Xenopus tropicalis: one gene and its partner. The main gene of each other region encodes a partner of the protein of the gene in region 2 in a complex. Links are inferred from orthologs where the notes say so. Each region holds a gene or a part of one and is shown on either strand. Other genes may lie near its edges.

What was found.
Region 1: the proteins of anxa11 (region 2) and tardbp are in contact, whole or in part, in a cryo-EM structure (PDB 9FOR), measured with the Homo sapiens proteins. The link is inferred for Xenopus tropicalis from reciprocal best matches to the Homo sapiens genes ANXA11 and TARDBP. Residues at the interface, in NP_001148.1 of Homo sapiens: Gly56, Met57, Ala59, Met61, Ser62, Gly63, Phe65, Asn69, Pro71, Asn72, Leu73; in NP_031401.1 of Homo sapiens: Ala328, Leu330, Ser332, Trp334, Gly335, Met337, Gly338, Met339, Ala341, Ser342, Gln343.

Annotation. Positions count from the first base shown.
Region 1 is NC_030683.2:64,768,838-64,781,032, reverse strand, and holds the end of tardbp (TAR DNA-binding protein 43), read right to left. Parts: intron 12,033-12,195; coding exon of another isoform or gene 12,024-12,032; coding exon 11,783-12,023; intron 10,377-11,782; coding exon 10,213-10,376; intron 8,971-10,212; coding exon 8,830-8,970; intron 7,983-8,829; coding exon 7,815-7,982; intron 4,874-7,814; coding exon 4,358-4,873; 3' UTR 3,306-4,357; downstream 1-3,305. UniProt on the Homo sapiens protein: RNA-binding protein that is involved in various steps of RNA biogenesis and processing.
Region 2 is NC_030683.2:53,067,947-53,080,141, forward strand, and holds part of anxa11 (annexin A11), read right to left. Parts: intron 11,860-12,195; exon of another isoform or gene 11,771-11,859; intron 9,369-11,770; 5' UTR 9,345-9,368; coding exon 9,299-9,344; intron 8,003-9,298; coding exon 7,908-8,002; intron 5,083-7,907; coding exon 4,681-5,082; intron 4,347-4,680; coding exon 4,262-4,346; intron 3,066-4,261; coding exon 2,971-3,065; intron 1,690-2,970; coding exon 1,576-1,689; intron 1-1,575. UniProt on the Homo sapiens protein: Binds specifically to calcyclin in a calcium-dependent manner. Required for midbody formation and completion of the terminal phase of cytokinesis.

The DNA of each region.
Region 1 (12,195 bases), about 12 Mb from region 2:
CAACGACCACATTGTTCACTCCTCATATCCAGTCACTTATCAAATCATGTCACTTTCACCTAAGAAATATTTTCAAAATACGATCATTTATCACCCAACATGCTGCCAAAATTCTTATTCACTCTCGCCTGGACTACTTAACTCCCTATTAATTGGCCTTCCCCTCCAAAGACTGTCCCCTCTCCAGTCCATAATGAATACTGCACCAGGCTCATACACCGCTGCAACCGCTCCTCCTCTGCATGCCACTCTGCACTAACTACCATCCAGGATAAAATTCAAACTAATGACTCTCACATTCAAGCAGTTCATAACTCTGCCCCAACCTACATCTCTGAACTATCTCTAGATCCATTCAACCCGCTTGTTACGCTCCTCAACTCCTCTCATTCCCTCACACACTCGCATTCAAGATTTTGCAAGGGCTGCCCCCATTCTCTGGAATTCACTCCCACAATCTGTCAGACTTTCTCCCAATCTCTCTGCCTTCAAGCAATCTCTAAAAACGCATTTATTTAGAGAAGCTTACCCTCATCTATTTTAACATAACCTCAGTGTGCTGCTAAAAGCAATACCCTGTGCCACAACTCTGGTCATGCCCATTCCCACACCTTGTGTCTCAACCCTTTCTCCTTGTAGATTGAAAGCTCTTTTGGGCAGGGCTCTCTTTACCTCTTGTATCAGTTATTGATTGCTTTATATGTTATATGTAAAACAGCAATCCAGAAGGCAAAAGATAAAAAATGAGGAGTGTATTGTGGCAGAGGCTAAAACGAACCCCAAAAAGTTTTTTAATACCATGCCCCTCAAACGGGCGCTTTCTAAACAAAGGTCTATTGGTCTTACTGAAGTCATTTGCACATGGATAGAAAACTGGCTACAGGATCGGGTACAGAGGGTGATTGTTAATGGTACATTCTCTATTTGGACTAAGGTTCTTAGCATGGTCCCTCAGGGTTCTGTACTGGCTTCACTTTTGTTTAACATGTTCATAAATGTTATAAGTAATGTATAAATGTTATAAGTAATGTATCAGTGTTTGCAGATGACACAAAACTCTGCAGACCAGTCAATTCTATCCAGGATGTGGCATCCTTGCAGCAGGATCTTGACCAACTGGCAATCTGGGCAGCTAAGTGGCAGATGAAATTTAATGTGGATAAATGTAAGGTCATGCACCAGGGATGTAAAGGTGGCCACACACGTGGCAATTTTCGATCTTTCGTGCGACCATCGGTCGCATGAAAGATTGTTCCAACCCTCCACTGATGTTCAGGGCTGGATCGTCAAGATATGGAGGTAGAAACAACAGGATTTCTACCTTCTTCTGCTGATTCAGCCCTGAACATAGATTTTGTCTTATAACCCGCCCGATCGGCGAGTCGACCGATATCAGCAGCCTCCTGCGTTATCGGTCACCTCGTCGAGTTGCCATACACGCAACAAATATTGTACGAAACAAGGTTTCATACGATATTACCTGTGCATGTATGGCCAGCTTAAAATATGCAAGCCACTTAAACACTTAATGGGACTGCACTAGGTAAATCCATAATGGAGAAGGACCTTGGAGTCAGCTGCAAGGGCAAATACAGTTTCATGTTTTTAAAAGGACATAGATTCACAGGAGGGTGTTATTCTTACCCTTTACAGAGCGCTGGTAAGGCCCCATCTAGAATATGCTGTTCAGTTTTGGTCTCCAGTGCTCAAACAGGACATTATTGAATTAGTTATTGAATTAGGTCCAGAGAAGGGCAACTAAGCTGGTAAAGGGTATGGAAAGTCCCAGTTATGACGATTGGCCAAGTTAGGTTAGTTTACACAGGATAAGAGGCACTCAAGAGGTGATATGATAACTACCGTATATACTCTAGTATAAGCAGAGTTTTTCAGCACCAAAAATGTGCTCAAAAACGCAGTCTCGGCTTATACTCGCGTATATACGGGGAGTGCACACGGCAGAAATCTAACAAGGAGTTTTAGTTACACAGCTCTGAAGTCAATGGGAAGCAGACTGTGGTGGGCATCAGGTATTTTTTATGGCAGCTTCCTTAGCCTTCCCAAACTTGCCTGACAGCTAAAAAAAAAAAAAAAAAAAAAAAAAACTTTCCCACTCTAGGCTTATACTCGAGTCAATACGTTTTTTTCAGTTTTCTTAGGTAAAATTAGGTACCTCGACTTATATTCGGATCGGCTTATACTCAAGTATATACAGTATGTATAAATATATAAAGGGAGCATATAACCTCTCTGATGCTTTATTTACCAGTAAGACTGACACGAGGGCACCCAACACCTTTAGAAGAAAGGAGGTTCTGCTTAATTATTTGGAAAGGATTTTTTACTGTAAGTGAAGTTGTGGTATTTCCTCCCTGAATCAGCTGTACTGGCTGATACATTATATAGCTTCAAGAAGGGGTTGGATGGCTTTTTAGCAAATGAGGGAATACAGGGTTATGGGAGATCGCTCTTGGTACAAGTTGATCCAGGAACTGGTCCTATTGCCATCTTTGAGTCAGGAAGGAATTTGTTCCCCCTCTGTGGCAAATTAGAGAGGCTTCAAATGTTTTTTTTTGCCTTTCCCTTGATCAACTAACAGATAGGCAGGTTATATGTAGACATTACGGTTGAACTTGATGGACATGTGTCTTATTTTCAACCCAACTTACGTACTCAAGCTGACACAATGTAATTAAAAGCTATGCAATTTAAGAGCTCTTAAGGAAGAACAACATAGTAGCAAATTCCTCATTGATTCCAAGATGGCAATCGGAACAGTCCCTGGATCAATTTGTACTATGAGCTATCTTTCAATAGACTGTATTTACCCACTTGCAAAGAAAGGCATCAGGCTCTTTGTGCATTTGAGTCCACCTAAAAGCACCAGCTTTTTACTTGCTTAATTGTTAATGAAATGAAGGAACTGCTTACTATCTGCCCATGGAACAACTTGACTTGATACATTTGGTACCTTAAAAAGAAGAGGCCTACACAGAAAAAAGGTGCAATTGCTAGGCCATTCACTGCAGTCTGCTCTTTCAGCACATTTTAAATAACACCAATGTTACAATGTTACCTTTTTTCTACAAAACTAAAAGTTATTACTGCCCATATATATTTTATAGATCCAATTGTATTGTTCTGTTCATTACAGAATTGCTCTGAAATGCTAAGGCTTGTAATTTTAACTGTTTGGGGGTTGTTCACATAGGTCAGAAATAGCACTGCAACAGGAAGGCAACACTGCAACTGAAGGCAAACAGGAGAGTACCTAAATATATAAAAAGATTAACAAATTCAAACCACCAGGGAAATTTCTTATTTAAAGTTTTATTTAATAACCTACAATGACAAGTCTTGTAAAAAGCATCCAAACATAACACAACTGCAGCAAACAGCATTCTTGTTGTTACTTACAGACCAAGACACCCCCCTACACTCTTGAGAAGCATATTTCAAGCCACTCTGACAGAGATGCAGTTCATCACATTGACTCACATTTCAATAACAAAGAAAATGCACACATCATACAGCATTCACAGCAGTAGACATTTTAAGAAGGGTAGGGTGAAAATGTACAAACTGTTTCAGGCAAATTGGTTTAGCCCCAGTCTTTCAAATGAGCTAAAGTCCTTCGAATGCAGGAAACATTCGTACGTTACTTGCTCCCACTGCTCTCTGCACACGCTCATAATTGCCACTGGATTGAGAGACACTGACAACTTAGTAATCCATAATGCACCACTGGTCTCTGCATACGCTCTTGTTCTCGCTCATACCAAAGACTCTCATTCTTTGGAAACACCAATCCCACAGTTCAAACAGCCTTCTGGTTCCACCTCACAGCCGTGCGTTCAAATTGCTGGTACGAATTCCATGAAACAAACTGGATAAAAATGGATCACCCACCGTCTTAAGACTCATCACGCAGCATGAATCTTCAGGCTAGGAAAAAGCTTGTAGGCAAAAGTGCTCCAGGGCAGGGAATCAACTGCATTCAGTAGCAGGTTCCAGAAAGGCATGGTAAGGAGCAGAGATCAGTTGAAGCAGTGAACACAATTAAGGTAGGAAGACTGTCCTAAACAAAAATGCATGATTCCATTTACATTAATATACAGACTGAGGCAAAGAAAAAAGGCTGGAATTACTACAGGTTGTTAACCAGTGGTCTATAACATGCATGTTCAGTCAGAAAGTAGTATTGAGACCAGATTGTTAAACTGAAGTACAAACTTAGAAAACAGTTCCCTTAAGTTTACTACTGAACATACTCAAAAACCTTTTGGAAACATTCTGCAATATACTTACCATAAAAATTATGAATTACCCACCAGAAACCCAGTGTCTTCTAATAAGACTACATTCCCCATCCTGAAGATTTTGATTCCATGCTTGAACTAAAGCCGCCATTAAATCCACTGCCAGATCCAGCATTAGGGGACCCCCAACCTATTGCACCAGAGTTGGAACCATAAGAATTATTTGAACCAAAACTTTGTGGCTGGTCCCTTTGTTGATTTCCTTGACCCTGATTACTTCCCTGGGGGCCAGATTGATTCTGTTGACTAGCGAGCATACCCATCATACCCCAGCTGCTTTGCAATGCTGCCTGGGCAGCTGCCATCATTGCTGGATTTATGCTAAAGGCCCCAAAATTCATCCCTCCACCACCACCCATATTACCACCCTGGTTGTTGCCAAGTGCACCACTACTTGGCCGGCTGTTGGGGTAACCCTGGTTCCCAAAACTTGGGCCAGGAAATCTGCCACCTCTCTCTAATTGCCTATTGTTATTGTGCTTGGGCTCTGCAGTAGAAACATGAACGCTGACTCCTTTAATGATCAGGTCTTCACCACAGAGAGATTGTGCAACCTAAAAGAAATAACATTTGAATGAGTACCCAGCACAAAAACCATAAGTTGTTCCACATCTGGATTTACATTAAGGTGCAAATTTGAGTCTAAGTCAACACAGCACTCTTGTTTTGCAGGCATCATAGACATGAAGTTTAAAGGAGAATGAAAGGTAAAAATTAAGTAAGCTTTATCAGAAAGGTCTATGTAAATACAGCCATAAGCGCACACAGAAAAGATGCAGAGTCCTCTTTCAAAAGAAACAGGATTTATTTTCTTTTGTGTACACATGTACTTAGGTATCAGACTTCCTCATAAAAATCCTTAATTTCACGGGCTGGAGTCTGAACATGCTCTCTCCTGCTATTATAACAATTCACTCCCCCTCCCATCAGAATGTCAAATCTGAACTAAGTTACCAGCACCTAGAGCTTGAAGCTACTGAGACCAAGCTAAAATGGCAGCTGCTATCTTAAACTGAGGAAGCTTTAAGGGCTGATTACTTAGGTATGGTAAAGCTTTCTGCAGAATAAACATAGCATTGTAGCTTGCACTAACGTGGCTAATCTATTGGCAGTAAAATGCAAAAATGATTTTCCTTCTCCTTTAACTGGAAGGCAGGTGTATGCACAACATGCAAGTTTTTTCAACACTCAGCAGGGGGCAGGCACAGAAAATCAAGCAGCATGGGACATCTGATTTTCTGGACTAAGGGGCATATTTATTAAGCTGTGTAAAACGAATTTACTGAAAAAACAACGTAAAAATCTGTAAAATAAATGGAGAAGATCGCTGTCTGAACACCAGATTTTATGCCGTTATTTTACAAGTTCTGGAAGAAAAAACATGTAAAGAAATTGTCGATTTTACGCCTTTTTTTTTCTACACAGCGAAGCCTGGCGACGTGTGGTGAATTTTCTCGCTTTTTTTTTTTTTTTTACACAGCATACTATAGAGTATGTAGACATCCTGGATAGTTTGCACTGAAACGGTTGCAAGGTTGCAAACAAAGGACCTGTATGTGTACAGTGCCATGCATTCACTTATACCAAACTAGAGAACAGCATCTGCTCAAACAACTGTTTCAGACTGGGTAGGTGGGGGGGGGGGACCATGAGGTCACAATTAAAGTCAGTGAACCAGCACATCTCAGTTTGTTGTAGGCGACTGTCTACTAACATTCAGTCTAATATCTAAATAAAAATAACAGGCAAAGTCAAGAAAAGGATAAAGAAAATTTAGTTCAAACAATCTTTACAGCGGCCAGTTATTTTGAACTGCTACTTTAATATATACACCTAATGTGGCCCATCCTGTACAGTACCCTGAGCGACTCCTCTGGGTTGACACTGTATAAGGGGCCATATACATTTATCACCACCTTTGTATGATTCAGTATTTGAGGGACAAATATTTGGAGCAACAGCAGTTAAAAGCGGAGACGTAGCGCACTTTCTTTCAGTTGACAAATTGTCAGGGCCGATAATTCTTGATCCATCAGGACAACAGGATGTAAACTGCCCCTGACTAACCATACATACAAGTATAGTCAAAATAGGTCAAACTGCCTGACCAAATCTGGGCATGTGTCACTAGCTTAAAACAGTCACACACATCCTGCACCAAGCTGACCAATGAACCTATACAAAATGCAAGGGGGGAAACCTGGTCAACCAGGTACTGTTTTTGAGCAATGAGCTTAAATAGCAGCACCAGAAAGCGACTGATGAAAAACTCTTGCATATAACCCATGCAGCCCAATTTAATCAGTCATCCTGTGAACATACAAGCTTTATATTATCGCAGTCTTACCAGATAATGTGACAAAATCAGTGACTCTTCGTTCAACCAGCAAAAATGGCTAAACTTATTTACATGTAATTAGCTTGCAATCAGGGCAGCAAGGCAGAGAGGTCTTTTTTAAAAAATGAGTCTTGGCTTACGGCACACAGCACTGAGCCAAAAAAGTTGCCATCCAGTCCAGTGCACTTGAGTGCAATATGGACTGCACTTCCAGCTGACAGTAATGGGAAGATATCTGTTGCTTGACTTCATAGAGAGTTTTAGAAACAGTCATGGCAATAGCTAGATACTCATGGAAGATAACTGGCCTGTTTGGCTATACAATGCTAGCCAAAATATTTAGTACAGTGATACCTTATCTGACTGTTACCTGAATGAAAGGATAAGGTGTTGAAACCATTTCTGTGTAGCTGATCATTGTAAAGACATGCTGTAAGCATTCGCCAGATGTATTTACCAGCACTCCTGATCATAATCTGCTTGAATGGACCCAGACACAGTGAAACAGTATTACAGTGACGGCCACAGAATACCTTTATTATTCCTAAACAGTTTCCCCAAAGGTAGCCCAATACGGAGTGCATTTCACTACATGCACATGGTATGTTTGGGTGGTGTTAGTGTGTACACATTTGGATTTGTATCAAACTTAATTGCAAGCAAGTGGAAATAAAAAATAGGACACTTGCAAAATGAGACTGCAGTGAAGGATAAAATGATTTATTTTCTATAAGCTTTAGTAAGTACACCTGCATTTAAGCAGACTAGCATGATCAAAAGACTCTGAAGCTTGATACTATACCACTGCCCTTTAACACAATGATTCCCAAACCACAAGGCTGGTCCCTCTAAGGCCACCCAAAGCAGTGGTTGGAAATGCCTTTTTGCTGGCCTAGATATTCAAAGGAAAGGCTTGGAGGCCAATTAGTGCAAAATTTGGGTAAACAATTTTGGTCAGAAATGTTTAAAATTATGGCTTAATGGCTAATATATGCATGTTTTCATTTAACTGTACCCTTGTTATGAGCTGGGGGCCATAACCAAGGGCCAAACCTCAAAGGGAGGTGACTTGTGCCAAATAGCCCAAAATCCAATGCCCTAACATTAAAAATTGTGGATTTTTCTTGCAAGCACTTAAGTTGCATTAGCTTCCTCACCTGGTCATCAGCAAATGTAACAAATGCAAATGCTCTGAAAGGCTTTGGAATAAAGACATCCACAACTTCTCCATACTGGCTGAAGAACTGGCGAAGCTCCTCAGCACTCATATCTTCTGTGCAACGCCCAACAAAGACCTTCCTGCTGCGCATAGGTTCATCTGGACTCTAAGGAAAATTTGAATTAGGTTTTAAAATTGTGTTTTCTTGGACTATTACAGATAAGTTTTTTTGGGCCCAGGGGTTAAACCTTATATTTGACCTAATCAAAACAGCCTACCAGGAAAAAAATTACTTTTGCGTACTTTTTTGGCCTACATGATTAACACATATTAAATGCTTTAAATCGGTAACAAATATGGAATCTGGGCTGTGCCAAAAGGCTCTAAGTGTCAGCAAAATAGAATATTTTGTGACAATTGCCCTTTATTGCAGAGTGGCCTGAGGAAAATGTTTGCGTGCCCTATAGTTTCAAAATAAATAAATAAAAATTGGTTTTATAAGGAACCAGTGAGGGAACCTTTTGATCTGGGCCAGTGTATGGAGTTCCATTTGATAATGCACTTCCTGGTATGCAATTTCATAAAAGTTGCAAGAAGCAACAGCTTTAATGAGGGGGAAACACATGATTAAAACCTGTAGCTTTCTCAGGGAAGGGATTGTTTAAAGAAACACTAGCATATTTTCAATGAACGGACAGTACTGGGGGTGAGGGTCAGGTTGTTCCCATTACAGTCAACGGAAAAGAGTGGTCTGAGCACCTGTGTTGACTAAATTATGCCAGCTGAGAAGATGCCCCATGTGCCATCATATTTTTTGCCAAGAACCAGGAATAAAGCAGGTGAAAAAATGAAATTCTAAAAAATAAATAAAAAAAATCCATGCATCCACATACATAAGTTTGCACTCATTTATAATGAGTTTGAATGTAAATATCCGACAAAACATGACTGCAAAAGATCAATAGTAATTTAACAGGTAGAAAAATGCATTTCTATGCATTTAGTAACATTACCTTAGAATTTGGTAGCTTACAGTCACACCAACGGCCATCAATCATATGACGCTGAGACATCACTTTTACTTGTGTCTCATAGTCTGCAAATCTAACAAATCCAAATCCTTTAGAATGACCTGTCTTAGCATCTTTCTTTACCTGTAAGAAAAATTGATAGTTTATTATAAAATTATCCTTCCTGGCATTAAAGAAAGAAAACCTCTTTTAAGACTTCAGGACTGATAGCTACTGCTAGTTATTTCTATTAACACTTAGTGACAAAGTTTCTCCTCTGCAACATCAACAAGATTCAAGTTTGTTTTAAGCAATAAGGATGCAGCATTACAAGCAGAAAAAAAACTGCCATCATCTGACAATTGTGTGAAACCACACAAATGGTCTAAATTGTTTTTAAGTTATACAGGTACAAAACCTGTTACGCAAAATGCTTGGGACCTGGGGTTTTCTGGATAAGGGGTCTTTCCGTAATTTAGATCTCCATACCATAGGTCTACTAAAAACAATTATTAAAACATTAAACCCAATAGAATTGTTTTGCTTCCAATAAGGATTAATTTCATCTTAGTTGTAATTAAGTACTGGGTACTGTTTCTTTATTACAGAGAAAATGGAAATCAAATTTAAAAATTTGAAATATTTGCTTATAATGGAGTCTATGGAAGATGGCCATTCCGTAATTCAGAACTTGCTGGAAAATGGGTTTCCGGATAACTGATCCCATACCTGTACTGGGACCTTTACCAGGGCTGGAGATTTCAGCGGTTCCCCTTTTACCAGCAAAGGGTTTATTTTCAGATGTTTGCTGTTGCCTTTTGAGGGAACAAAAATGCCTGAAATTTCTACCATAGAACTTAGAGGCCAGTATACCAATACCAAAAAAAACATGCATATTATGTTTATGCAGCAAAGATTGCTCATTATGGATACCATTGTTGCCCCAGCATATCTTACAGTCCAAGATTCCAATTTCACTGACAAAATTCTATTTGAAGCTAGTTAACCTGCTGCTTTGTGTGTGGGAGGAAACAAGAATCCAAAAAATACATAAGGGGAATATGCAAACTTTTTGTAGATGCCCAGGTCAGAACCGACCATCCATAACACTACTAGGCAACAGCAAAGAGAAAAAACTTCCACATAAGTGTTAACATATGTATATAGACATGTCATTCCTTTCTAAACTGCTGTCTGTATCTAACATATATAAGGCGATTATTATGCAATGGCGTTATAGTTATTTGTCAACCTACCAATACTAACATCTGCAACAAAAAAAGAGCATTACATATTTTTATAGTAACAAATTTCCCATTAAAAATATCCTTTCTAAACACATACAAAAAAAACAAAACAAAAAAAATCAAAACCCTGTTTAGGTACCTGCACCATAATCACTTCACCAAATGTGCTGAAATAGTCTTTCAAATCTTGTTCTGTGGTTTTCCACGGAAGACCTAACACAATTAGATCTGATGTTTTTGTCACTGCACGTTTTATTTTGACTGCAGAAGAAGCATCAGTTTCATCCATCTTCCTTTTGTTATCTGATGTAAAAAACATTTACAAAAGTAGATGCACATTTTAATTGCAAAGCTAGTTCACCAATACAAATGGCATTTCCATAAAAGTAAAAAAGTTGTTAAAGGGGATATAACTAGAAAGCAAATAAGAGAAAGGATCTCCAAGCTTCTGAAGAGGTTACTACTCAGGTTGTAGTCATATTGAAGGCTGAAAATGCACTGTTTTTTGACACTAAGTCAAAATCTTTGTTATGTGTTCTTGTAGTGTTGCAGCTATGACAAATAAACAGCCTAATCGCATAAGGGCTGTGACAGACGGGGAGATTTGTCGCCTCGTGACAAATCTCCCCGAACTGCCATCCCACTGGCTAGAATGTAAATGGCCAGTGGGATGGCATACGTGGCGCCAGAATTTGTGGAAGTTGCCTTGAGAGGAAACTTCTGCGTCTTCGGCAAAGCGCGGCGCTGCGTATGCCATCGCACCGGCAATTTACATTCTAGCTGGTGGGATGGCATTTCGGGGAGATTAGTCATAAAGGCTCATGAGATAAGCAAAGAGGGTCCAGCATAGTAGTATTTCTCTGCACTAACACACTGCAATAAGACATTTTTAGAGCAAAGCTGTCCAGCTAGGCCTGATGTAACCCACCAAGGAGTTTTAAACTGGCCTTTAAACTGAAAACCAAAACTTATGTAGTAAACCTTTAATACATAGTGTTCAGTATTCTCAAATAAAACTTTGCGTTGGAGGTGGTATTGTGCATAGGTAAAGTTACACTTTAGTAAAAAGCCAAGGTTTTATAAGACTATTTAAAATACCACTTTAATATTTAAATAACTTTTTTAAAAGCTGCAACCATCACATTGTATGTAAATATTTAATCAATGTTCTAGTTAATATTTAAAGATAAAAGTTAGGTTTACTATCAATGTCCCTACAAAAGTGATAAAGCGCATGTTAAACACTACATATGGGAAGATTTCTAAAATAAAAGTCAACACTAACATAAGTTACTACTCTGATTCCCTACTTTCTCAGATGTAATGTGGTAGTTGACCTTTTAAATAACCTAGTATGTTGACAGCAATATCCTTAGAATATTTGCAACTGGTCTTCATGTTGTGTTTCTTTAATTTAAGCCTTTTTTCTGCCTCTACTTTGAATTTCTGCAGCTGTTTGATAGGGTGCACTTAACTGTAGCAACCAGACAGTAGTTTGAATAAGCCAGGAACATAGTGTCCATATACAGAAGTAACAATACTATAGTCATGCATAGCAATAGTTTTGTTTGCTAAGATCATTCACCCCATTTGAAAGCTGCAATGAGGCAAAAGGCAAATTATTCAAAAACTACAAGATGATCCACAAAAAAAGTTGCTAAGACATCTATGCAAGTAAGAGACTTGTGACTAACATTTTCATTGCTCACCTTTTGGATAATTGACTACATAAACAAGGTTTCCCCAGCCATTTTCAGGAGCATGGAGAATCCCTTCAACCAATCGAACACCACGCATACACTGATTCACTGGGTTTCTGTATCTCAGACCACATGCACCAGGAAACTGGGCAGTAACTGTAGACAACAGTACTGTCCCATCATCTTCAGATGGTATCTCCATTGGCTCTTCATTCTCATCCTCTGCCACTCTTATGTATTCCATCTCCATTTCTGCAAACTGGAGAAATGCTTAAGTTAGATGTGATATAAGCCCATGGATGTGCACAGATTTTTTTTTTTTAACGCACAGGTAATTATGTGCTGCTCATGGTATTTTGCATGCAATGCACCCATAATACTGGCCTGTCCTTAATCTGCATTTCAGTGTGATCTAATTAAAC
Region 2 (12,195 bases):
GCAAATTATGCTGAAAAGTAGTGAAGCATGCTTCCTGAATATATAGACAAAACATACTAGCAATAGAAACAGAAAAGAGCAAACACTACCATCGCTTTTGGTTTTTATGCAACATATGTATGGCTCCTTTTGTATTTGGGAATAATTCAAGGACATGTAAGAGATGTTTTCTTGCATTTAAAATGCCAACATATAACCAGGGTCTGGTATTATGTAGTGTAGGGTATCAGCACAGAGTGAAAGCAATATACAAGGCAGCTATTCCCAGCTAGTTAAAGGAGAAAGAAAGGTAAAAACTAAGTAAGCTTTAGCAGAAAGGTCTATGTAACTATAGCCATAAGCACTCACAGAAATGCTGCACTGACTTCTCTGACAAAAAGATTTCTTGCGTCTGTAATTCCTGTGCCAGAGACATTCTGCTCTCTGCTCTCTCCTGCTCCCCGCTCCCTCAAGAATGCTAAGAACTCACTCCCCCCACCTTAGAAATGTGGATTTGAGCCAATCAGCAGGAACCTTCCTCATAGTCTTACTAACCGAGCATGTACACTTGGTCTGGGTGTCTATGCAGGAGTGAGGCATTATGGGAACTTTCTTTTCTGATCATCTGAACAGGTGAAATATGGGGAGACTTAAGGGGACTATTGAGACAACTGAAGGTATGCCTGCAGCTTGAGACTCTTTACTAGCCTTTCCTTCTCCTTTAAAGGAATATAGTCATGGGAAAACATGTCTTTTTCAAAACGCACCAGTTAATAGAGGTTCTCCAGCAGAATCCTGCACTGAAATCCATTTTTCAAAAAGACAGATTTTTTTTATATTCAATTTTGAAATTTCATATGGGGCTAGCCATATTGTTCCTTTCCCAGGGTGCCACAGCCATGTGATCTGTGCTGTGACAAAATTTAAACCTGGGTGCCAGAGTGCAAGTCCAAGGAAAGAACTCAATGTTTTTGACCTTTGTTTTCACCTTTGTCAGGAGCAATAAATGAGGTGGCACCTTAAAAAGCCATTTCCAATATGAAGGGTTGTCCACAAACTTTTGCCCATATAGTGTAGCAGCCTGTCTTTATCAGAACCCTTGAATGAACACTGTAGAAATCAAATACCAGCTTTGATGCCAATGTTTATGCACTGGCACTTGCAGCATTACATCAACTGTTCTGCTATAGGCAAGCTATGTTTCAGAGACAACTAATATAGCCTGTACAGGATACAGTAGTTAAGACTATGTTTAACACAGTCCTTAGTAAGGGGATGTGCAGGTCCCTGTACTCGGAAATGGAGAGCAGATGCCTGTGGCTATTTGCAAACCAAACGCAGTATGCAAAAAAACGGGCAAATGCATTTTCTGCACTTTGTACAGTGTTCAGCTTAGCAAATGAACCCTCCTTTGTTTTTTAAACACATTGCAGCGCTTAAAATAAAACAAATATTTTCAGCCTTATGCAAGGTGATTTATGAAGTATGTGAATTAAATATGTGGATAGTTGTTTCTATGATTAATGAGTGGTTCAGAATCAACCTCTTTTTTTTTTTTTTTAAAGATTATATTTTGCATATTTTTTCAGAACCAACCTTAATTGCCTCATGTATCTCATGCGCATCATAAAGAGTTGGAGTTTTCATCATTGCCAGGATTGTCTTCTCAAAATTCCCAGAAAGCTCAGACTTTAAATCTTTTATCAAATCCTATCAATTTAAAATAAAAAAATTAAAAAAAAAAACAGATAAAATGTTGAATTAGTGCATCAGAATGCAAATTGCCCAGTGGACATCGTCACCTGTACAAAATTCCTGAGACTGTCAATACTAAGGGGCACATTTATCAAAATACAATTGTTTCCAAATACAAAAAAATTGTATTTTTTCTAAGTTTTCGTACTGTGCTTATTTTCTGCGTTTTATTCTTGTTTTTTGTTTTTTCGTTAATTTGCACAACTTTTTCGCACTGGGAGACTTCCAAAAACATGCACAGAAGGAAGAAGTCAGAAAGGTTTTTTCCGCCGTTTACTATAGTTCGGATACGAAAATTTAGTGACTTTTGGATTGCAAATACAATATTATCATGACTATTACAATTTTTCGTATGAATTTTTGTGACATTTTGGATCATCAGAAATTATCGTATCTAATCCGAATTTTACTCATTTCGGGATTCGAACTTGTACTTCGATGAATCTGCCCTTAACCAACTTCGCCAAATCTGGCTACGAGTTGCATGTTTAGAATATAAGGCAAACAATATTGTTCATTTAACATTTTACACGCAGGAGATTTGCAGTAACATACACAATTTGCCATGATCCCTTTGCTAAACGTATATTGAAACAGTAGAATTCTTAATGAATCGCATAAGTCAGTGTAGGACTGGCCAGAAGGGATGACTTTGACGTAGTTGGCCAGCTTGAAGTATATTGCAAAGTATGGACAAACAATCCCTATTTTGTTTAAGGGGGAGGGCATTTCTTAGTAGCTTAACGCACAGAATGTCTTAATGTCCTATAATGTATATATTGATAATGGGTGAGTGCAGAGGATCTCTTGTTGTTGTTTATATATATAGTCCAACTAAAAGATAGCACACCATGCGAAGGGGGTTAATACCAGGGTTTCAGTCCCACACACAGGTATGGTATCCGTTATCCGGAAACCCGTTATCTAGAAAGCTCCGAATTACGGAAAGCCCGTCTCCCATAGACTCCATTTTAATCAAATAATGCAGATTTTTAAAATTTAAATAGGTAACGTATATAGAAAAAGCTAATATAAATCATAAAATAATTGATAATTAAGTTCTGATAATCTATTAATAATAATAAAGAAAGTGAAACTACTTAAAATAATAAAGAAAGTTATAAATACCTTCACTTATGTGCAAATAGCAGATGTTAATAAATGCAATATTAAACAAATAAGCAGCACTGAGCCAACCACGGTTTAAATTTACCTCTGACCCTGCCCACTACTTACCTTTCCATAAGCAGTTTTAAAAGAGAGGCTGATCTGTTGCCTTTGTTTGTTAGACCTACTCCCCAGGCATTCAATAATGGCCTGCTCGTCAGTTCCTGATTTATAAGAATGTATAGCATAGTAAGTAAATAGTATATTTATTCACAAACCTACATATATTTGATATGGAACTATGATAATATAAACCAAAAATACGACAGATACAAAAAAAGACCCAAGTGTTACTGTAATGGTGTTTGTGGTTAAACACATTTATTTTTTAAAAGATACATTTATGGTAAGGCCCCATAAGGCGGATTCTCAGCCAACAGTCCTGTATGCTTGAAAAATCTTCTAATTGTGCCTGCATATAGAAGCATTGAATCTGGCCAGGTGCAGGCACACTCAGCCAATAGCCGCCAACAAATGTAGGGACAATTAAAACATTTTTGTGGCTTTGTGGGGCCTTACCCTAAAAGGAGAAATGCTTTACTATACCGGAGTAAACAGCCCTAGAAGATCTCTATGCTTGTTTAAGATAGCATCTGCCATACACGCCGCCTCATTTTTCTAAAGTTGCATGAAGTTGCCTGCAGGAGGAAACCCTGCATGACTTCGGAAAAACAAAGCGGCCCGAATGCCTTTTCACTGCCGATTCACTTTGCTGCTGGTGGAAAGGCATTTTGGAGAGATTAGTCGCCTGCGGTAACACACATTTATCACAGACAACTAATCACTTCATGGGACATTAGCCTTAAAGGAGAAAGAAAGGTAAAAACTAAGTAAACTTTATCAGAAAGGTCTATGTAAATGCAGCCATAAGCACTTACAGAAATGCTGCACTAAGTTCTTTGTCAAAAGATTAGTTGTGTCTGTTTTCCTCTACCAGAGACACGCAGCTCTCTCCCCTCTCTCCTCTCCTGCTCCACCCCCCTCAAGAATGCTAAGAACTCACTCCCCCCCCATAGGAATGTGGATCTGAGCCAATCAGCAGAAGGCTTCCTCACAGTCTAACTAACTGAGCATGTACACTGGTCTGGGTCTTGGAGCAGGAGCAAGGCATTATGGGAACTTTCTTTACACAGCTAAGCGTTTTTTCTTCCTGTTTGGCTTCTGATCATCTGAACAGGTGAAATATGGGGAGACTTAAGGGCACTATTGAGAGAACTGAAGGCATGCCTGCAGCTTGAGATTAACTCTTTATTAGCCTTTCCTTCTCCTTTAAACATTAGAGCAAATAGCATTTTAAATGCCATTCCTTTCTCATAAATACCACAAATTAATGAAGTTTTTTTCTTTCAGTGTGTCTTACCAAAGCCTTTCATGGCCTTCCTGAGCACCTCAGCATCTCTCAATGCATCAAAGTTTGCTGCATCTGTGATGGTTCCTCGTGTTACCTAAACCAATTACAGATTAAAGGAAAGTTATGAACAAATGGGACAGGAAAAAATATTGATTCCTGACCTCAGTCAGCCAGTACAGATGAAGTGTAATAATAATCACAGATAAAACCAGTTACTGAAAACATATTGAATAAACTACTATTATTCTATTAATTATAACATAAATATAATTGTAAAATATTATATAATTTTACAATAAAAAGCTGTATTACACATATTGAACAAAGGTAGACTTACAATGATGCTTGCCTGATATATACTTAAGTAAATATAGCTCATTAGATACAAATGTGGAAACTTTTTCTAATGTAATTAAACGCCATCATACCTTTCCATATGAAGGTATGACAGTAGGGGTTGTTGAAGGTGGCATCCCAGGAGATGGGTAAGATGGATTCATTGCTGGGCCTTGAGGATAACTTGGTGTAGGCTGCTGTCCAGGATAGTTCATTGGGGGTTGTCCAGGCATGGGCATTTGGGGCTGGCCAGGTGTTGGCATGGGTTGGCCTGGCAGAGGTGCCGCTGGGTATCCTGTGTTATACCCAGGCATTCCTGGCTGTTGGCCTGCTCCTGGAGGAGGATACATGCCATAGGAAGGAACCTGAGGTTGCCCAGGCATTGGTGGTGCTCCATATCCACCTGGAGGTGCTGGGTAGCCACCTGGAGCTTGAGGGTACATCCCCTGTTGTTGGTCCATTCCTCCAAACCCAGCTGGCGGGAACCCTGAGGTCTGCAGTACATAAAAAAAAATACTGTTTGCTGTGAAGGTAAAATACATTATTTTAATGGTTATGGTTAAAGCATTAATTTAAACGTGTAAGATTGCCTTTAAGTTAACGTCTAGCATAATATAGAATGTCACATTATTAGCAAGTTTTCAAGTTATCTTCATTTTTTTTTTATAATTTCTGAATTAATTGGCTTCCTATTCTAATTTAAGATGGGGGTCACTATCTACATCACACTAAGGGGCATTTATGAACGCTCGAGCCTTCAGGGTTGAGCATACATATCCCAAAACCATGCAAGAGTTCCCACACTCTCACATGGTTTCTTTCTCCAACCAAAAAATAAAAAGTCTGGAAGTCTTTGGTGCTAAGCATTTTATTTTGTTGGTCGGGGAAAAGAAAAACCCGATTTGCACGAATCGGGCTATTCGGATGAAGAAACCACGTGGTTTTGGGACACAAATGCTCAAGCCCAAAGGCTTAAGCGTTCATAAATGTGCCCCTAAAGCTTAATTTAAAGTGGTAGTGCCCCTTTAAATAAGGATACAAAATATTATTGCGAGTGAATCAAACCTTATAATAATCTCATTACCTTACTTCACTAGTTGCATATGAAGAAAAACTACAGCCAATGTGTCTACTGTCCTCACAAAAATTAATAAAATGTGATTTAATGGATCGGTTAAATTGCACCAGTGCAGTTGAAAAAAGTGTACAATCACCAGTCAGCTTTGATCAGTCTACTCAAAGTTAGAAAATAAAAGCAAAGAGCAGACTGGCTCCTATAGATAACTGCACTGGACGAATTCAGTATCCTGTAAGTAAACCCTTGCCTGTTTCAGCAAGATAATACCTGTGTGAGCAAAGTAAGGTTCATACAAAACTGGTATGGAAACACAGGAGTGGAACCTGACTTCGCCTGCAGTGCTGAGCAAACATTTTTGCCAGGTTTCAGCGCGGACAAATGCCCAGAGACTTTACTGGCTAAAAAAAGTTGCATGGTAAAAAAAAAAAGGCACCAACTGACTTCAATGTGCTTCACAATTTTTTGCTAATTCACAATTTTTTTTGCCAATCTAAATGCGACAGATTCACTCATCACTAATGACCAGCACAGAGCCATAACTTTAAACCAACTGAACACAGGTGGGATGAATTGGAGTCCAATCTGAGGCAGGCCTAATCGCCTAAGGCTGATGCCACACCAAGCTTGCCGAAAATTCAGCCCTACGCCTGCTACTTGTGCCTGCACCGGAATGAATGGGATACGCTTGGGTGCAGGCACAAGTAGCAGGCGTAGGGCTGAATTTTCGACAATCGTTTTTCCGCTTGCCGAAAAAATCAGCCCTACGCCTGGTGTGGCATCAGCCTAACATCAGTGACCTCCTATGTAATAATGGAATGAAGGCCACAAAAATGTTCCCAAAACTAGTGGATTACGTTCCCTGTTAAAGCAGCAAAGAGAGGACCAACTTCAAATCATTAACCTTTTTTGATTAAGATGTTGGACAGGCAGGCCAGGATTTGTGGCGAGGCAACAAAGGCCCGGGCCTAAGGCGGCAAAAATTCAGGGGCGGCATGCAGCCCTTCCGCGCCGAAGTTTCGCTCCCCACTGCTCCGTATGAAGTTTAAATTGTCGCCCGCGCGAATGTGCATGCGTGCGCTCGAGGGGGGGGTTGGGGTGGGGGTTGAGTTGCGAACGAGCAAGCGCGTGGGGGGTGGTGAAGTGGGTTGGCCTCGGGGCACACGGATAAGAAATCCAGCCCTGTGGACAGGCAGGTGTCCACAAACTTTCAGCTTTACAATGTATGTTACCCCTCACTCACAAAGCAATAACCTGGTGTCCCTCCACCCAAGCTGAGGATCTGAAATATTTGGGAACCTTTATGCAACCTGCCAGACAGTACTGATCTCTTCTTATTCAATGCAGTGAAACTCAACTTCTGCAGACTGGCTGAAGTCAGTTTGTCCCCCCACTCATGTACCTGCAGGTATCAACCGGGGGGAGTCTTTTTATGTGCATAATGGCAGCAGAACTATCGGGGAAACATTGGCAAAATCCCTTGGAGAGAAAAGTGGACCAAGAACTAAGAGTGCTGTATTCATTTTTTACCACAGCCGAAGCAAAAATGTAACAGCAAAAATAAATAAAATGTCTGGAATCTTAGATTACCATGTGGGGTATTGTCTGAAGTAATCACGTATGACCTAAAGTAACATAAATAATGGCATATAGAAACAGTATACTAATTCCTGAAGCTGTCTACCCAACACTGAGTAAATGCAAGATTCTTTGAAATATACACTGTCATTCACAAATGAGAAATCAAAAATTTTGAGTTAAGCTGGCCATACACATACCAATAAAATTGAGAAAACCTAGTTTCGTACGATTTTTAGACTATTTGTGGGCTCCAAATGATCGTCCTGAAAATTATCTTACCATGGCGATTGGTCGTTAAGTTGATCGGCCAGATTAGAAAATTTTGGTTGGATAACGATAAAACCTGCGCATATATCTGACAATATACTTATGGGACCTACAACGAAAGTTACTTTCGTACGATTGGTGTCTGACAATTATTTCATGTTCAGGACATCCTCTGATTTGTATTTTAAAGCTTTATCCTACAATTTCAGTCTGAATGTTAGTTTCAGATTTCTGCATTTAAATGTACGACCGATCAAACATTCATCAGAAGAATACTAAAATCTGAACGTGTATGGCCACCTTTAATTTAAAATATAGACAGTCAGACAGATGGACAGATAAGACAGATGGTTTCCAATTTAACAGCAGACAATGATTCTGGAAATTTTCACTCACCATGTACTGTTGGGGGTTGTATTGCTGAGAAAAGTTTGACATGTTATCCAGCCCAATAGGAGGAGGGTTAGCAGGAGCTCCCCATGGGTTACTACCTACAAAAGGGACAAAGAAAAGGAACAGAGAAGGACATATTACTTGAAATTTAGGGTTGAGTGATAGTAAATACTTTTTAGTCTCATCATAGAAACATGCTATAGGTATGAGACAAAAGTGGTCATTTATGATGGAGATTGTGTTTAAACATTTAACTCATCAACAGATGTAGACGACTGGCTCGCCTGGAAAAATCCAAAAAGGTCACCCAGTGGGCCAGTAGGCCAGTTGGACAGCACTGGCCTAGGGTAATCTCAGATTATTCTCCGTTATGGTTGGAAATCCAGCTAGGATTTCCAACCATAAGGCCAGCAATTATGGCAAATATCCCCGTAATGGCTCTCACACCAAACAGTGGCTGATTTCAGAAAATGTTAGTTTAGAGCTTAATACATAAAAACGCACCATTTGATAAAAATCCCACAGGAATGAATAGAACGTAAGTGGGTTTATATGAATTAAGTTATAAACTCACATTTGAATAAATCTGCCCCTTAGCGTCCTCATTACATAACCCCATAATGGGTCGTGGGCAAACATAGTGCCTTTATTGCACATGTGGGACGATATTGTGCAGTTCTTATCAAGTGACTAAATAGTAGTGGTAAGATTTACTATCGTCTATCCAAAAGACGCAGCTGCTGATTTATTAAGTTTCAATTTTGCTGCAATTCATGATGCTTTTTTTATGGTTTTTTAATCTTGATCTTGTTTTTCCCACAATTTGGATTTTTTTTTTTATCACATAAAAAAAAAGTCTGAAAACTTTTAGATTGTGGGGCTTTAATTGTTATTTATTTTAAAGGATCATTTTTTTGCTGGAAATTTGTTGAAAGCTTTTGAAGTTGAATATGATATTAATCAGCCCCATGTTTTGGGTGATTCCAAGTGGTTTGCCACCCAAATAATTAACAGCTTGATGGGTGGGCAGCATAATGATCAGAATTGCCCCTTCAATGATCTGAATAGTAATTGCTGGGACCCTGCTGGTAAGCTGATCAGGAAAATGATTATTGCTTTGAAATGTGGCAGTGGCTTTGCAGATCTATAGTTGCCTGACTAGTGAGACAGTAAGGACAGGGCTAGGCTGATGCCACCTATAGTGCACTACTGGGCAAACTTAGTGCCTTTTATTACATAAGGATTGTGTGCTTTTTTGTCTTTTTTCTTTTCTGGAGAAAAATTGCGGCTATGAAAATGTCAATTTTCTGGTTTGACATCAGCCTTAAATACACTGAAACCAGGTATGTATCATACAGAAAATATTCTGAAATCCAGAAGAAAAATTTACTTACCTGTGGGCACTGGTGGAAACCCACCCGGGTATCCTGGGTAGCTCATTTAACTGGGATTTGATAGTCCTTTCTGAAATTATAAATTTCTGTATTACAGACAAATATAACCAAATGCTTGTATATAAAATTATATCTTAAAATATAAAATTTCTCCTTTTTTTTCCATAGTCTGCATGCACACAGCAGCAGTTACACCAACTCCGCCCCCCCCCCCCCCCCCCCCTGAAAGTCAGAATATGGGACTGCGGGCTGAGTTGTTAAAAGAGGGACTGTCCTGCAAAATTCGGGACAGTTGTTTACCCTCCCCACATCCTAACTTGTGGCACCCTTCAGTTCTCTTTTAAGAGCTCTGGCACACGAGGAGATTTGTCGCCCGCGTTTTTTCCCCCAGGCGCTTTGGCGCCACGACAATACACACAAAGAGATTTCATGCGAGTTGAGCTCCAGGAGATCTGCTACCCATGGTACCACACAACAGTTACCCCTCCCACATGTTTACTCAAGTCGCTCAGGAAAGGGTCTGTGTGCGATTTGAAACAGCAGGCGACTTGAAGTAGCCTCATATGTTTTGACGCTGGCGATTTCCATTGGTTTAGCATTGGCGTCTTGTCGTTCGTCTTGTCGCCAAATCGCTCTTTTAAAAATCGCTGGCGACAAATCTCCTCCTGTGCCAGAGCCCTAATTGTGTCAGGGAATCATTATGGTTCCTAATCTACATCTGTTCCTTTGTCTTGTTCACCAGGAATTTGCTATACAATACTGTGTTTATGTTATAAATAAAAATCAATTCATCATGTTTTACAATGGTATGCCGAAAGAGAAAAAAAACAATAGCTGATAATGTTAATTGTGAATTTGCAGCTAGATTTAACTTTCATTAAAGTTTGTTGAAATATATTTCTTTCACGACCCATGGCTGTAAGCCAAAGACTATGCAGTTGCTCAGTCATTTTTATGTATGTTCCCTGTCACTGTTCCTATTAATAAAATCCCTGGCAGTGACATGTCATGCATCAGCTCTAGCACAAACATCCCTCTAGGGCAGGGCATCGGCACACAACATAACAGTTGAGCTTTCAGTCCATCAAGTTTAACCTGTTTGTGAGAATAAATTGCAAGCTGATCCAGATAAATGGGAAAAACCATTCAAGTCTCTGTAATTGCCACAGAGGGGGGGGGGGGGGGGGAGATATTTTTTTAATAACTGGGCAGTCAGTTCCGTTCCTGGATCAACTTTGTAGTAAGAGTTGATTCAGTTTAATGTTTAATAAACATAAAGAACCTAAATGTAAAAAAATAGCTTTCCTGTAAACTACTATACAACTCTACTCTCTGCAGAACTGAACTGAAGATTTAGTTTTTGTTTTTTTTTGTGGCTTTCTTCAGTCTGCAGTGGTCTAATATAAAACAAGGTGTTTAAAGGTGGCCATAAATGGGTCAATAAAAGCTGCTGACGGTTGGCAGTTTATTGACCAGTATATGGGGCCCTCAGACAGGCTTACCTGACCGGTATGTGGCCGAAAATGTCCTTGCTTTGTGTGCTTAAGCAAATAATATAAATGAGCCACAGAGTTTCTTCTGCCTGATAAGTTCTAAGTGTGCTTATGCCTTTGTGTATTAAGCACTTGGGGAGTGTCAGAATGAAAATAGTTCCAGCAGCTGGCAGCATTTTCACCCACGCATCTCACATGGGCAAAGCTTGATAAACATGCATTTACTTGCCTAGCAACTAAAAGGTTAATTGGCTCCTAATAAATCTGATCATAGTGTATGTGTGTGTATGTCCCACTAGGAGACTGATGTGAATGATGTGCAGTATAATCTCTAATATCTCTATAAAAGCACTGTGGGGCTTATTTATTTTTGAGTTTGTTTTTCTAAAACGAAACTCACATATCGAATGATCACCTATTTATTAATAAGCAAAATAAAAAAACTTAGTATCTCAAATTTTTCAAGTTTACGAGCTCTATAAACACAAAACATTTGAGTTTAAGAATAAGGCTTGACTTTGCCTATGACAAATCCCATTGACTTCTATAAAAACTCACAAGCTATTAGATGGTGAATTTTTACATTCGAGTTTTCAGGGTTTTTGCACTTAATAAATAATAGACATTCAAGTTTTAAAACCATAACTCAAATTCAAGGTTTTTTAAGCGCAAAAAAAAACTCAAATGGAGAAAAAAAATCAATTATAAAGAATAATAATAAAATACGGAAATAAAATAAGGTATGGAGATCCAAATTACGGAAAGACCCCTTATCCGGAATACCCTTGGTCCCGAGCATTCTGGATAACGGGTCCAATACCAGTACTGACTCGGGTAACTTTCTATTTTCTTATCTTAAAGGTTAAGGAAAGTTAAATGGGATGTTCACCTTCAAACAATAGCTCAAATTTGAACAGCCCCTGTCAGAAAAAAAACATTTTAATATTTAAAATGGTTAGCTTTGAAGCAAAACACTCACCAATCTTCTCTCTGCTCTTTCTGTAGGGGATTTTCCAGACCAGGACTTGGCACACTGAACTGGTTCTGCACTTGCCTTCCCTCTCCTGCTTCATTTGAATATTTTTTTATACCACTGTCTGACAAGATTCAGCCAATGGCTGAAAAAAATGCAAAATGCAAATAAAGCAGGAGAGGGAAGGCATGCACAGTAATAAGTTCAGTGCAAACTTCCTGTTTGGGCAATATGCAAGTTTGGTGTTGACGATCCCATCCAAAGTAAGAGGAGAAAGCAGAGGAGAGAGCATTCTAGCAGTGCTAATCTGGGTCTGTAGCTTCAAAACTAGCATTTTAAATAATAAAGATGAATTACAAAACTGTTTTGTTTTTTTTCTACAGGGGCTCTGTCAAATGGCTGAACATCCCTTTTAAAATCACTACAGCTTC